2 linked regions of the Callithrix jacchus genome follow. The protein of the gene in region 2 interacts with the protein of the main gene of each other region in a pairwise test. Links are inferred from orthologs where the notes say so. Each region holds a gene or a part of one and is shown on either strand. Other genes may lie near its edges.

The links.
Region 1: the proteins of KRT13 (region 2) and CCNC interact in a two-hybrid assay, tested with the Homo sapiens proteins (2 studies listed by BioGRID and IntAct). The two-hybrid records come from large-scale screens. The link is inferred for Callithrix jacchus from reciprocal best matches to the Homo sapiens genes KRT13 and CCNC.

Annotation. Positions count from the first base shown.
Region 1 is NC_133505.1:105,600,811-105,604,625, forward strand, and holds part of CCNC (cyclin-C), read right to left. Parts: intron 3,081-3,815; coding exon 2,996-3,080; intron 2,834-2,995; coding exon 2,764-2,833; intron 2,598-2,763; exon of another isoform or gene 2,514-2,597; coding exon of another isoform or gene 2,460-2,513; intron 1-2,459. UniProt on the Homo sapiens protein: Component of the Mediator complex, a coactivator involved in regulated gene transcription of nearly all RNA polymerase II-dependent genes.
Region 2 is NC_133506.1:91,751,364-91,755,673, reverse strand, and holds the start of KRT13 (keratin, type I cytoskeletal 13), read right to left. Parts: upstream 2,893-4,310; 5' UTR 2,831-2,892; coding exon 2,360-2,830; intron 1,034-2,359; coding exon 951-1,033; intron 754-950; coding exon 597-753; intron 409-596; coding exon 247-408; intron 137-246; coding exon 11-136; intron 1-10.

The sequences.
Region 1 (3,815 bases), on a different chromosome or scaffold from region 2:
CTGGAAAAAACCACCATGAACTTCATATGGAACCAAAAGAGAGCCCGCATAGCCAAGTCAATTCTAAGCAAAAAGAACACAGCGGGGGGCATCACACTACCGGATTTCAAACTCTACTACAAGGCTACAGTAATCAAAACAGCATGGTACTGGTACCAAAACAGAGATATAGACCAATGGAACAAAACAGAGGCACCGGAGGCAACACAACATACATACAACTATACAATCTTTGATAAACCTGACAAAAACAAGCAATGGGGCAAGGATTCCCTGTTTAACAAATGGTGTTGGGAAAACTGGCTAGCCATGTGCAGAAAGCAGAAACTGGACCCCTTCCTGACACCTTACACTAAAATTAACTCCAGATGGATTAAAGACTTAAACATAAGACCTGGCACCATAAAAACCCTAGAAGGAAATCTAGGCAAAACTATCCAGGACATAGGAGTAGGCAAGGACTTCATGAACAAAACACCAAGAGCATTGGCAACAAAAGCCAAAATAGACAAATGGGACCTAATCAAACTCCACAGCTTCTGCACGGCAAAAGAAACAGTCACTAGAGTGGATCGGCAACCAACAGAATGGGAAAAAATTTTCGCAGTCTACCCATCTGACAAAGGGCTGATATCCAGAATTTACAAACAACTCAAGCAGATTTACAGGAAAAAAACAAACAAGCCCATTCAAAAGTGGGCAAAGGATATGAACAGATACTTTACGAAAGAAGACATATATGAGGCCAACAATCATATGAAAAAATGCTCATCGTCACTGGTCATCAGAGAGATGCAAATCAAAACCACACTGAGATACCATCTCACGCCAGTTAGAATGGCGATCATTAAAAAATCTGGAGACAACAGATGCTGGAGAGGATGTGGAGAAAAAGGAACACTTTTACACTGTTGGTGGGAGTGTAAATTAGTTCAACCATTGTGGAAGACAGTGTGGCGATTCCTCAAGGCCTTAGAAATAGAAATTCCATTTGACCCAGCAATCCCATTACTGGGTATATATCCAAAAGACTATAAATCGTTCTACTATAAGGACACATGTACACGAATGTTCATTGCAGCACTGTTTACAATAGCAAAGACCTGGAATCAACCCAAATGCCCATTGATAATAGACTGGATTGGAAAAATGTGGCACATATACACCATGGAATATTATGCAGCAATCAGAAATGATGAGTTCGTGTCGTTTGTAGGGACATGGATGAATCTGGAAAACATCATCCTCAGCAAACTGACACAAGAACAGAAAATGAAACACCGCATATTCTCACTCATAGGTGGGTAATGAAAAATGAGAACACATGGACACAGAAAGGGGAGTACTAAACACTGGGGTCTATTGGGGGGAAAAGGGGAGGGCCAGTGGGAGGGGGAGGTGGGGAGGGATAGCCTGGGGAGAAATGCCAAATGTGGGTGAAGGGGAGAAGAAAAGCAAAGCACACTGCCATGTGTGTACCTACGCAACTGTCTTGCATGCTCTGCTCATGTACCCCAAAACCTATAATCCAATAAAAAAAAAAAAAAAAAAAAAAAAAAAAAAAAAGACACTTAAAATTATTACACGGTAATACTTAAGTAAAATCAAATATTACACAGTAGAATTATTAGAATTAGAAAAATCAATCCATAATAAAAACCTTTAATAAATACTTTCTTTTCCATTAAAGAACTTAACAAAAACAAAGCTGGTTCTGCCTTAACTACCACTCACAATTAGAAAACATAATCTTCTAGAAAGCTTGTCTTAATATTATTTCTAACAGAGGCAACTGTCATTATTTAGGTAAACATTGGGGAAGATGTCATGGATAATCTTAAATCATGGCAAAAACAAAACTAAATCAAAGTGGGTACCAAAAGGAATGTAAACTTACTAGGTAAAAATCACATTCAATATCCAAGAATAAAACTACCACTCTAAGACATTATCCAAAAATAGAAATATAATGCAAAGATTTTACACCACAAAAACTACATTAATTATTTATGGAAAACAGTCAATATCTGCTTTTATTTTCTGGATTTTAGCTGAGCTGTTTCAAAAATGTGACAAAGGCAAAAGAAACTGAACAGAAATTCAGTCTCTGCTGCAAGTTCCTATCTATCTTCTCTCCCTTACCTAATTTCTCTACTCTCACAACCCAAACTTTTACTTGTTAGAATCTATACAGCTATAGCGTCCCCTAATCCTTGCCTTCCTTGTGGCTTGGTAGGCAGCCAATCATCAGAATGATAGGAGGGAAGATAGGAGAAGATAAGGACATGGGTGAGAAGGAAGAGGGACATTCTCAGGTTATGGCAGGCAAGCTATGGGTACTTACTGAATAATACTTAGTGCCAAACAAGAAATGTCTCAAAGGCAGCAAAGGAAAGTAGTTAAGAACACAGGATTGGTAATGAGACTCCCATGGTTCAAACACGGGCTCTGACACTTACCAGCTGTATAATCTTAAGCAAGTTCTTCATCTCTCTCTGTCTCAGTTTCCTCATTTATAAAATGGGAATACTACTACTATGTATTCCAGTTTGTTACGAAGATTAAGTCAGTTGGTACACAGTAAGTGCTGTATATGTCTGTTAAGTGAATATATAAGGATATGTATATATTTCTTTGACTTTGTACAATTTTAGTATTTTGCATAAATTACCATTAATTGTATATAGGCAATGTGAAAACTGGGGCAGATTAACCAACATACATTAACTACACTTTGATGAAGAACAAAAAATCATTTTATACCTCTACTTTGGATGCCAAAAACACACATGTAGGAGCCATTAATACAGGATCTATACTTTTCAGAGAATACCTAAAATATGATAAAGCAAAGTTAATTATCATTCATATAGAAAGCACACTGGGAAAAAAAAATCAAGATAACTCTATGGCAGACACATGATTCATTTACACTGTGCTAAGGTTCATCCATATTAGATAAGAGTTCAAATAAATAAAATAAAAATAATCCTACCTGGCATAGAATCTCTTGAAATATACTGTAGCAGTGGCAATAACTTGTTGTCTTAATTTAAGATGTTCACCTAATGCCTGGATAACTAAAGGGAAAATAATGATATTTTAAATGTATCTTCTGGGATCATTATAATATTAACATTGAACAGTAACTTCCATGTGGTTAAATCATAATTATATTAATTTTTAACAAAGGAAAAAACATGTGCATGCTCTATATGAGCCACAGTGGTCTAATACAAGGATTTGTAAATGTGTTAAGAAATAAATAGGAGTGCATAAACGACAACAACAAAATAGAAATTGCCCCACAGCAAAATATTATTCATGCATTAAGGAAGTTGAGTAAGTATTTTCCCTCTATCTTCTAAATATTTTTAATGCCTTTCATATTATCTTTATAATAAATATAAAAAGAAAATATTAGATGCCTATGAAACTTGTTAATACTACCACTTTTTTTGTTGTTTTGAGACAGATATTCTGTTGCCCAGGCTGGACTGCAGTGGTACGATCTTGGCTCACTGCAACCTCTACCTCCCGGGTTCAAGTGACTCTTGTGCCTCACCATGCCCAGCTAATTTTTGTATCTTTAGTAGAGAGGGGTTTTACTATGTTGGCCGGGCTGGTCTTGTATCCCCTGGCCTCAAGTGGTCTGTCCATCTATGAATCCCGAAGTGCTAAGATTACAGGTGTGAGCCACCACACCCAGCTAATACTACCACTTTATACAGTTCACCAAGAAAAAAAAAAATCCATAATAAATCCTCAAAACAGAGAAATGTTTACAAAACAGTGAAATGAAGGTTAAAAAAAAT
Region 2 (4,310 bases):
GCAGGCATACCATGCTCAGCTGGGACTGTAGCTCAATCTCCAGGCCCTGGAGCGTGCGCCTGAGCTCCGTGATCTCTGTCTTACTGGTCTGAATTATGGCAGTGTTGGTAGACACCTCCTTGGTCAGCTCTGCACTCTGAAATGCAAGCAGGAAGAAGGTGATGGGGAAGCTCAGCTCAAACAGCCTAACCAAGGGGCTGTATCTGCTCAGCTCCCCTGGCCGTGTGGGGTGAGAGGGTCAGGTACCTTGGTGTGGAACCATTCCTCGGCATCCCGGCGGTTCTTCTCTGCCATGGCCTCATACTGCTCCCTCATCTCTGCCAGCACGCGGGTCAGGTCAATGCCTGGGGTGGCGTCCATCTCCACATTGACCTGGCCGACCACCTGGTTGGTAAATTCCTTCATCTCCTGTGGGGATGGGAAAGGAAGATGTGTGAGGCTCCTCATCCTCCCTCTCCTTGGCTCTGAGTCCTGGGAGAGTGTTCTGGAAAGTGCTTCCAGGTCCCACAGTGGAGGGCTGCGCCCGGCTGCAGGGGAGGGTTCCTCCTTCTCACTGGAGGTGGTTCCGCCCAGGGCAGCCTGCAGTTCCCGCTCACCTCCTCGTGGTTCTTCTTCATGTAGGCCAGCTCCTCGTTCAGGCTCTCAATCTGCATCTCCAGGTCAGTCTTAGACAGGGTGAGTTCATCCAGCACCCGGCGCAGGCCGTTGATGTCAGCCTCCACACTCTGGCGCAGGGCCAGCTCATTCTCATACCTGAAATAGTAAAACAGGAAAATGGTGTTTGGAAAAGCAAGACATAAATGATATGAAACAGTCCCCCTACCCCTGCACTGGACTCTGATACTTCTCCTTGACCTTCACTTCTGGGATGCTCCAGTGTCATTGGCCAGGTGAGCATTTGTCTAAACTAAGAAACTGTTGGGAAAGGAGAGAGAGGGGAAAAAACTCACTTGAGCCTGAAGTCATCCGCAGCCAGCCTGGCGTTGTCAATCTCCAGGATGACCCGGTTGTTTTCAATGGTGGCAGACAGGATCTACAAAATGCAAAAGAAGGTAACCTCTAGGGCGTGTGTGTCCAGTGTGTTGGCTTCCCTGGGCCACACTGGAGGAAGAAGAATTGTCTTGGGCCACACATAAAATACACTAAAAGTAATGATAGTTGATGGGCAAAAAAAAATTTTTTTTAATTTAAAAAAATTGTAAGACTCATAATGTTTTCAGAAAGCTTACAGATTTGTGTCGGACCTCAATCAAAGCCATTCTGGGCCACATGCAGCCCAGGCTGGACAAGCTTGCTCTAGGGGTTCCATGTGCTTGAGGAGGTGGCTGGGAAAACATGGGCAGGACCGGTTCCCAGGGGGCTCTGTCTCTAACTTGAGCTGGGACAAGGCATTTCCCTCTGGGCCTCTATTGCTCTTCCGTAAAGTGAAGGGTGGAGCTGCGTTCCCTCCAATTGCTCCTATTGCTTGAACATTCCATGTCTGAGCACCCTGGGAAAGACGCAGGGAGTGGGTTTCTGAGGAACGACCTGCTGAGAACATCTTTGGTTCGTCATGTCTCGGCAGCCTCAGACTAGCACCCTCCCCGGGCCACTGTCTTAAGAGCCCTCCCCTGAAAGTCAGGAGGGACTCAGCTTGGTGCTGCATATCTCCCAATCACGTTGCAGGAGCTGACCTCCCAGCTGAGTGGAGGGGAAATCTGACAAATATTCCCATCCATTTGAGTTTCTTGTCTAAACATTTATATTCCAAAGCACTGAAAGCCTATTCCACATGGCCGGGACTCAGCCCAGGCTGGTAGATTTCTACTCCAGCAGGCTGGTATCACAGCATAACAGGCAGGGTTCAACAGAGGGCATGCAGGTAAGTACTGCCTAAGCCTCTGCCTCTCTCTCCCCGACCTAGCCATCACCAGTTAAGAATATCAGTTTGCATGGGTCCCCTACAAAGTAAACAGTTATTCCCAGGGCAATGAATGAACATGTTGATTTCACTTTCTCTGTTGATTTCACTCATTCTTAGTGGCTTTTAAACCTGTCATGTTTCCAAATAGCTCAGTGGGTTGGGATTATAGAGATCGAGTCACAAATAATGTAACTGTCTGGAAAGCAGCAAAAAAAAAATGGCATGAGTAATAACAGCAAGAAAAATGAATAATGAGAGAAAATGCATCTGGGGAGCTGTGGCATGAGAAAGCCCATCAAAAGTAGAGACTCTTGGTAGTAAAAGATGAGGCTTTTCACCCTGCAAGAAGGCTGTGAATTTCACCAACACCTGGTCCCCTGCTACACTGTGGAACCTCCTTGGCCTTGGAGGCTCTGCCCTGCATGGGGGTGCCCTCCTCAGCTTCCAAGGTCTCACCTTTTCCCGGAGCTCTTCAATGGTCTTGTAGTAGGTGCTATAGTCCCGCTCCGGGCTAGATGGGCTCTGCTTCAGGTGCCAGTCACGGATCTTTACCTCCAGGTCAGTGTTGGCCGCCTCCAGAGCGCGCACCTTCTCCAGGTAGGAAGCCAGGCGGTCGTTGAGGTTCTGCATGGTTATCTTCTCATTGCCAGTGAGGAGGCCGCCATCGCCAGCACAAAAGTCAGCAAAGCCACCAGCAAAACCCCCACCAAAGCTGCCTCCAAGACCACCTCCATAGCCACCTCCAAAGGCACTACCAGCCCCTCCACCAAAGCCACAGCTTATGCCGCCCCCATAGCCCCCGACAGATCCCCCAGAGACAAACCGAGTTGAGCAGGTAGAGACACCACGGCCTCCTCCCAGCTGGCAAGAGCCACCCCCGAAACCGCCTCCATAGCTGGCGGAGGAGCTCTGCAGGCGGAGGCTCATGGTGAGAACAAGATTGAGAGCAGGTGCAGACAGAAGCTTGCTTGGCCTGGGCCGAGGACTGTGGCTCTTCCCCAGAGTGGACACCTTTTATACACCTCCACAGGGGCTGGATATCTTCTCTCCTCCCTTCCCCACCCTCTGACTTGGTGCCAACTGCACTTCTTTTTCCCACAAGCCCAGTTACCTCTGCTCTCTCCAGGGTGGGTTGTGCCTTTTGGGGGTGGCTTTTTTTTTAATCCTTAACAAAAGGAATGATTCAGAGGGGACAGCATTCTGCCTGAGACTGCCCTTTTGACAAGCGAATTCTGTTTCACCTCCACTTAAGGAGTTCACCCTACAGGCTCTGAGCCCCACCCAGTATCAGAACGGGACCTAAGATGCAAAGGCCTGCCAGGAGCCTCTGCAAGGGAAGTGGTGGCTGCAAAGTGGCTCTGTGCTTTGCCAGGTCACCGTGGCCCTCGACCTTCCTTTTTTCTATACTACAATTCCCATCTGGGATGTCCTGGATCCCTCTTAGTACTTCATCTACTCCAGGGGTCCCAGAAACTCTGAGGACAAACTTTACTTGGTCTGATAGAATCAACGGCCTTGAAAGTATTTAGGCCAAGAAAGCAATGGCCCCAAAGCATCAGAAAAAGTCACAGTGACAGAGACCCTCAGGGATCTTAGGGACCATCAGACACAGCTGGGAAAACTCAGGCATGGAAAGAGGAAGTGGCCCTATCCATCGTCACAGCAAATATTCTCAGAGCCCTCACCCTAGGCAGGACTGGGGTGAAGGGACTTAACACTCATCATATTTAACCTTCACAGCACCTTGGGAGCAGGTTCCTACTGTTACATTTTGCACATGAGGAAAATGAACCTAAAGGGCAGATTCAGGACTGAAATCCAGGTCTGGTTCTGTCTGGCACTGAGGTGCATTCTTTAGGTATATCTTTCATACAGTAAAATGTATAGATCAGGTCCAGCTTCATGTCTTTCGACCCAGGCGTGACCTGTGTAAACACCACCCAGAACATTCCCAGCATTCCATAAAGCTCCTTGCACCTTTTCCCAGTGAGTTACTTGACTCCACGCCCCTGATACCACCACTCTTCCAACCTCTGTCCCCATAGACAAGCTCAGTGGTGCCCAACTAGGAGCTGCTTTTCTCCCCAGGGGACATTTGACAATGTCTAGGAACACTCTGGTTGTCACAACTTGGGGGCACTACTGGTAGCTAGACACCAGGGATGCTGCTGAACATCCTATAGGGCAAAGGACAATCCCCATGGCAAAGAATTCTCAGACCCACAGTATCAATAGTGTTGAGGTTGAGATGCCCTGGGTCAATCTGGCCCTCGGGTTTACTCACTCCATTACACTAGCTGCTTTAGGGGCAGGAAGACAGTCTTGTAATAACGTGAGCAGGGCCCTTTCTAGTATGCCAGTCACATGAGGTCTGTCCAAGCTTGTGAGTGTTTGACCAAGAGGTCAC